2 linked regions of the Saccharomyces cerevisiae S288C genome follow. Changing the gene in region 1 together with any one later gene gives a genetic interaction. Each region holds a gene or a part of one and is shown in the gene's direction. Other genes may lie near its edges.

The links. Genes that interact genetically often act in the same process or in processes that back each other up.
Region 2: mutations in POB3 (region 1) and HRP1 together harm fitness more than expected from each alone (negative genetic interaction), as found in Saccharomyces cerevisiae (one large-scale study listed by BioGRID).

Annotation. Positions count from the first base shown.
Region 1 is NC_001145.3:133,761-137,520, forward strand, and holds POB3 (FACT complex subunit POB3), read left to right. Parts: upstream 1-1,739; coding exon 1,740-3,398; downstream 3,399-3,760. Other genes in the region: DAK1 (dihydroxyacetone kinase), read left to right, coding at 1-1,469. UniProt on the Saccharomyces cerevisiae protein: Component of the FACT complex, a general chromatin factor that acts to reorganize nucleosomes. The FACT complex is involved in multiple processes that require DNA as a template such as mRNA elongation, DNA replication and DNA repair.
Region 2 is NC_001147.6:85,684-89,443, forward strand, and holds the start of HRP1 (Hrp1p), read left to right. Parts: upstream 1-2,160; coding exon 2,161-3,760. Other genes in the region: TRM11 (tRNA (guanine-N2-)-methyltransferase), read right to left, coding at 1-1,074. UniProt on the Saccharomyces cerevisiae protein: RNA-binding protein, which is involved in the polyadenylation-dependent pre-mRNA 3'-end formation and cooperates with the cleavage factor CFIA complex and the cleavage and polyadenylation factor (CPF) complex.

The DNA of each region.
Region 1 (3,760 bases):
CTGGCGTTTTATTGATTGTGAAGAACTACACAGGTGATGTTTTGCATTTTGGTCTGTCCGCTGAGAGAGCAAGAGCCTTGGGTATTAACTGCCGCGTTGCTGTCATAGGTGATGATGTTGCAGTTGGCAGAGAAAAGGGTGGTATGGTTGGTAGAAGAGCATTGGCAGGTACCGTTTTGGTTCATAAGATTGTAGGTGCCTTCGCAGAAGAATATTCTAGTAAGTATGGCTTAGACGGTACAGCTAAAGTGGCTAAAATTATCAACGACAATTTGGTGACCATTGGATCTTCTTTAGACCATTGTAAAGTTCCTGGCAGGAAATTCGAAAGTGAATTAAACGAAAAACAAATGGAATTGGGTATGGGTATTCATAACGAACCTGGTGTGAAAGTTTTAGACCCTATTCCTTCTACCGAAGACTTGATCTCCAAGTATATGCTACCAAAACTATTGGATCCAAACGATAAGGATAGAGCTTTTGTAAAGTTTGATGAAGATGATGAAGTTGTCTTGTTAGTTAACAATCTCGGCGGTGTTTCTAATTTTGTTATTAGTTCTATCACTTCCAAAACTACGGATTTCTTAAAGGAAAATTACAACATAACCCCGGTTCAAACAATTGCTGGCACATTGATGACCTCCTTCAATGGTAATGGGTTCAGTATCACATTACTAAACGCCACTAAGGCTACAAAGGCTTTGCAATCTGATTTTGAGGAGATCAAATCAGTACTAGACTTGTTGAACGCATTTACGAACGCACCGGGCTGGCCAATTGCAGATTTTGAAAAGACTTCTGCCCCATCTGTTAACGATGACTTGTTACATAATGAAGTAACAGCAAAGGCCGTCGGTACCTATGACTTTGACAAGTTTGCTGAGTGGATGAAGAGTGGTGCTGAACAAGTTATCAAGAGCGAACCGCACATTACGGAACTAGACAATCAAGTTGGTGATGGTGATTGTGGTTACACTTTAGTGGCAGGAGTTAAAGGCATCACCGAAAACCTTGACAAGCTGTCGAAGGACTCATTATCTCAGGCGGTTGCCCAAATTTCAGATTTCATTGAAGGCTCAATGGGAGGTACTTCTGGTGGTTTATATTCTATTCTTTTGTCGGGTTTTTCACACGGATTAATTCAGGTTTGTAAATCAAAGGATGAACCCGTCACTAAGGAAATTGTGGCTAAGTCACTCGGAATTGCATTGGATACTTTATACAAATATACAAAGGCAAGGAAGGGATCATCCACCATGATTGATGCTTTAGAACCATTCGTTAAAGAATTTACTGCATCTAAGGATTTCAATAAGGCGGTAAAAGCTGCAGAGGAAGGTGCTAAATCCACTGCTACATTCGAGGCCAAATTTGGCAGAGCTTCGTATGTCGGCGATTCATCTCAAGTAGAAGATCCTGGTGCAGTAGGCCTATGTGAGTTTTTGAAGGGGGTTCAAAGCGCCTTGTAAGTACTTGGCTCACGAATACATATCAAGATACTTATGATATATATATATAGAAAAAGCTTACTTTTCTTGGAGTTATTGTTATTATCATCGCGAAGAACGATTGTATAACCCGGTTCAACGCGAAACGAATCGTTAAACTGGTGAAATGTTAACGCGAGTGTCAGAGATATACATAGTATGAGAGTAGCTAGATGTTGAATCGGTGGTAAGAACAAGAAGGAAATACCGTTAACAAGTGAAGGAACAATCTAGTATTGTTGAACAAGAATTATGAGTACCGACTTTGATAGAATTTACTTGAACCAATCTAAATTTAGCGGTAGATTCCGTATTGCTGATTCTGGGTTAGGGTGGAAAATTAGTACCAGTGGTGGCTCTGCAGCAAATCAGGCAAGAAAACCATTTTTATTACCAGCCACAGAATTATCTACCGTCCAATGGAGTAGGGGCTGCAGGGGTTACGACTTGAAGATAAATACCAAAAATCAAGGTGTTATCCAACTAGATGGATTTTCTCAGGATGACTATAACTTAATCAAGAATGATTTCCATCGCCGTTTTAATATTCAGGTAGAGCAAAGAGAACATTCCTTACGTGGTTGGAACTGGGGTAAGACAGACCTTGCCAGGAATGAAATGGTTTTTGCTTTAAATGGTAAACCAACTTTTGAAATTCCTTATGCTAGAATAAATAATACAAATTTGACCTCTAAAAATGAAGTAGGAATAGAATTTAATATTCAAGATGAAGAGTACCAACCAGCCGGTGACGAATTGGTAGAGATGAGGTTCTATATTCCTGGTGTTATTCAAACAAACGTCGATGAAAACATGACCAAAAAGGAAGAGTCAAGCAACGAGGTCGTACCAAAGAAAGAAGATGGTGCTGAAGGAGAAGATGTACAAATGGCAGTAGAGGAAAAGAGTATGGCAGAAGCATTCTATGAAGAACTAAAGGAAAAGGCAGACATCGGGGAAGTCGCTGGTGATGCAATAGTTTCCTTCCAAGACGTCTTTTTTACCACGCCAAGAGGTCGTTATGATATCGATATTTACAAGAACTCCATTAGACTCAGGGGTAAGACCTATGAATACAAATTGCAACATCGTCAAATACAAAGAATTGTTTCGTTACCAAAGGCAGATGATATCCATCACTTATTGGTTTTGGCAATTGAACCTCCTTTACGTCAAGGACAGACCACCTACCCCTTTCTTGTCTTACAATTTCAGAAAGATGAGGAAACAGAAGTGCAATTGAATCTAGAAGATGAAGATTATGAGGAAAATTATAAGGATAAATTGAAAAAACAATATGATGCTAAAACTCATATAGTTTTAAGTCATGTATTAAAAGGTCTGACTGACCGTAGAGTCATTGTTCCTGGAGAATATAAATCCAAATATGATCAGTGTGCAGTTTCATGTTCTTTCAAAGCAAACGAAGGTTATTTGTATCCATTAGATAACGCTTTCTTCTTTTTAACTAAGCCAACTTTGTACATACCATTCAGTGATGTTAGCATGGTAAACATTTCAAGAGCAGGACAAACTTCTACGTCATCGAGGACGTTTGATTTGGAAGTGGTACTGCGTTCAAATAGAGGTTCTACCACTTTTGCCAACATCAGTAAGGAAGAGCAGCAATTATTGGAACAATTCCTAAAGTCTAAAAACCTAAGGGTGAAGAATGAAGATAGAGAGGTACAAGAAAGGTTACAAACCGCTTTAGGTTCAGACAGTGACGAAGAGGATATTAATATGGGTTCCGCTGGTGAAGATGATGAATCAGTAGATGAGGATTTTCAGGTCAGCTCTGATAATGACGCAGACGAAGTTGCAGAAGAGTTTGATTCAGATGCGGCTTTAAGTGATGCTGAGGGGGGTAGCGACGAAGAAAGGCCTTCGAAGAAGCCTAAGGTAGAATAGTAATAATTTTAGACTGTATAAGTTAAATTTATTGATATTGTGTAAAAACTAACTAATATATTTTGCCAATTGATATTATCATGACATGGTGAGTGTAAGACACCACCTCTTAATTACTGGTGTTATTCTATACATTTATTTGAAATTGGTTTTGTTTTGCAAAATATTTATGTTTTGTTAATCTCCTCTACCCTTTCAATGCTTGAAAAATACTTTCAACTTTTCGATTGGGTGATGAAAAAAAGACAAATAGTGTAAAGGGTTCAAAAATAAATAACAAGCAAGAGAAAGGGACTTTGCTTTTCTCATTTAGTCACCAGTAAGTTATGTCATGGTGTAGAATAACGAATTACAGAAAACTA
Region 2 (3,760 bases), on another chromosome or scaffold:
TCCGCCAATCGGTAATCTTTCGGAAGAGTATTGTAAAAGATCATCCAGTAATGAATCTAGAGCATACGGTTTTTTGGTTGGAATATAATCGCGACGCAAATATGCCTTTTCACCGTCAATTTCCATATCTTCCTTGCCTAGAAATCTTTCTGGATCCTTAGCACCTAGGACTTTTATGCTTTCTCTGATACCATATGGAGGATCACACAAAATAGTATCAATGACAAGATTGTTTCTTAATGCGTTATTTGTAAAGTCCATGGTCAACACGTCGAGGAATTGAGAACTCTCGCCATATTTTTTGAAGTTGGCCGAAATGTTCACTTGAGCACCCTTACCACGAATCATTCTGCCATCTATATCCGAACCAATCACTAAAGAACCAAAATGCCCACCAGCTACCAAAAAGGATCCTGTACCTGCAAACGGGTCGTACATTATAGTTCCCGGTTTCACTTGAGCTATATTGGCGCTGACCAACGATAATTCTGCTTCGAAGCTAGTTGTACCTTTATAAGGTCTTTTCTTCAAATCATATTTCTCCATGGCACTCCTATTGCTCATCTGAACCTGCCTACCAAAATAAATCCTGGTGGGGGTCTTACCACCAACGTTTTCCGATATTGGTGTGTACTCTTCTATAACAGTGAAAACCTCTTGAGGATGTTTCATATCAATCTTTCCTTCAAAGCCAAGGTAACGGAAAGTTTCAATCTGCTCTACCCTCTTAGCTTTACTGTTGCCTTTATAGCATTCGAATTCGAACTTAAAAGTGGAATGTTTGAATTTCAATTGCAGATCCTGTTCAAAGTTAGACTGACGCTGAATATCTTTATGCAGCTCATCGAGCGTTGTACCCTGCCCCCAATACTCATAAATACCTCTGGTTAAAATAGACCTCTTAATCCAATCCTTTGCTTGCTGATCATTTTCCAGCTCTACAATAAAGAAAGGGCTATTGGCATCGTACTGCGAAAAGTCTATGGAAAGATTATATAGGTCTGCTAACGATTCCAGTTCTGCTCTTCTAAAGTTCAAATGAACTTGTACCATATACAGCAGATATTTCTTCATGCTGCCGTTTTTACCTTATATACAATGTGTTTAGTTATGCTATTTCATCTCCATATTACGGGTATTAAGACCTCGATGCCCATAATCATCGATTTTTTTCACTTTTCCCACAACGTAAACATTTCTTTTTTCTTCGGAAAAGAATCCAAAATACGGGTAATAAAAGTCTCTTAAAGTACTAATAGCTATAGATAACATTATGGAGGCTATTGATATACAAAATACTAAGAAATATAGGTTGCTGCAAGGAAGAAGATCAAAAACCCTCTAAATTTCGCTTTATCTATCCATCAAAAGTCCGGAGGGTCATGCTATCGAAAACCTATTGACTATAAATATCAATTTTTTTATCTCTTCGATTTGTTCTTGAAGATCTTGCGCAGAAGTTGAAAAACAAAGAGTAAATCCTAATGTAGATGCGTGGAAAAAGAAACATGCTCTTAAGGATCCCAACTTCTTTCTCTTCTAAACATCTATAACCTTGGAAGATCTTGCGAAATACTGGGCGGCTAAATCGAATGCATTTTTAATCTTACCCGGAAATACTTTCTTTTTTTTATTTATTTTTTTTCTTGCAGCCCCTCCCTACGAGCAGCGCCGAGATTTCTTGTTGGACAAAGCAAAAAAAGTATAAAAGGCGCATGCTTTCCACACGCCCAGGCGCTCTTAAATTTTCTTCCGCTCTCTCCTTTCCGCCACTGTAATTAAAAACAAAGGATTGAACAGTTTCGACTAGTTATTTAATTTTGCAGATAGTCAAGTATTAGTACAATATACTGTTATAAATTTTTTACGTGTATCTTTTACTTTTTAGTGTTTAATAACTAAAATCTCATACCTTACTAGATTTCTTTCTAACCTTTTTTGCGAAAGAAACAAAAAGAAAAAATACGGACAGAAAAGGTATACTCAATAAACAAGAAATTGAAAAAGCGTGCATAATACAAACAATTGGCCCTTTTTTATTCTGTATTAATATTACTGTTTATATTACAATCTTTTCATAAAAGACGCAAATATTTTATTTATAAAGAACTTTAGCAGTATACACAAGTCTGAGAAAATAGAGAATAAGTTAAATAAGCAATGAGCTCTGACGAAGAAGATTTCAACGACATCTACGGCGATGATAAGCCTACCACTACTGAAGAAGTCAAAAAAGAAGAAGAACAAAATAAGGCTGGCAGTGGTACCTCGCAATTAGATCAACTAGCCGCACTACAAGCATTATCTTCTAGCTTGAACAAACTAAATAATCCAAATAGTAACAACAGTAGTAGTAATAATAGTAACCAAGACACATCTTCTAGTAAGCAAGATGGCACTGCGAATGACAAGGAAGGTTCCAATGAAGACACTAAGAATGAAAAAAAACAAGAAAGCGCTACATCAGCAAATGCCAATGCCAACGCTAGTTCTGCAGGACCTTCTGGCTTACCTTGGGAACAACTTCAACAAACCATGTCACAATTCCAGCAACCATCTTCTCAATCACCACCTCAACAGCAAGTAACTCAAACCAAAGAGGAACGTTCGAAAGCGGATTTGTCTAAAGAAAGTTGCAAGATGTTCATTGGTGGTCTGAATTGGGACACTACGGAAGATAATCTTCGCGAATATTTTGGTAAGTATGGTACCGTCACTGATTTGAAAATCATGAAAGACCCTGCAACAGGTAGATCTAGAGGGTTCGGTTTCTTATCTTTTGAAAAACCTTCTAGTGTTGATGAAGTGGTAAAGACACAACATATCCTCGATGGTAAAGTTATCGACCCAAAAAGAGCTATCCCAAGAGACGAGCAAGATAAAACCGGTAAAATCTTTGTTGGTGGTATTGGTCCTGATGTGAGACCAAAGGAATTTGAAGAATTTTTTTCTCAGTGGGGTACGATTATCGATGCGCAACTGATGTTAGATAAGGATACCGGTCAATCAAGAGGTTTTGGTTTTGTGACGTATGACTCCGCTGACGCCGTTGACAGAGTTTGTCAGAATAAATTCATCGATTTCAAAGATCGCAAGATCGAAATCAAGAGAGCTGAGCCAAGACATATGCAACAAAAATCATCAAACAATGGTGGTAACAATGGTGGAAACAACATGAATCGTCGTGGCGGTAACTTCGGTAACCAAGGCGATTTCAACCAAATGTATCAAAACCCTATGATGGGCGGTTACAACCCAATGATGAATCCGCAAGCAATGACAGATTACTATCAAAAGATGCAAGAATATTACCAACAAATGCAAAAGCAAACTGGTATGGATTATACTCAAATGTACCAACAACAAATGCAGCAAATGGCAATGATGATGCCAGGGTTTGCCATGCCACCTAATGCAATGACTTTAAACCAACCACAGCAAGATTCAAATGCCACTCAAGGTTCCCCAGCACCTTCTGATTCCGATAATAATAAATCCAATGACGTCCAAACTATTGGTAATACATCAAACACTGACTCTGGTTCACCGCCATTGAATTTACCTAATGGTCCAAAGGGCCCATCACAATACAATGATGACCACAATAGCGGTTATGGCTACAACCGTGATCGCGGTGATCGTGATCGTAACGATCGTGACCGCGATTACAATCACCGTAGTGGTGGAAACCATAGAAGAAACGGCCGTGGTGGTCGCGGTGGATACAATAGACGTAATAATGGCTACCATCCATATAATA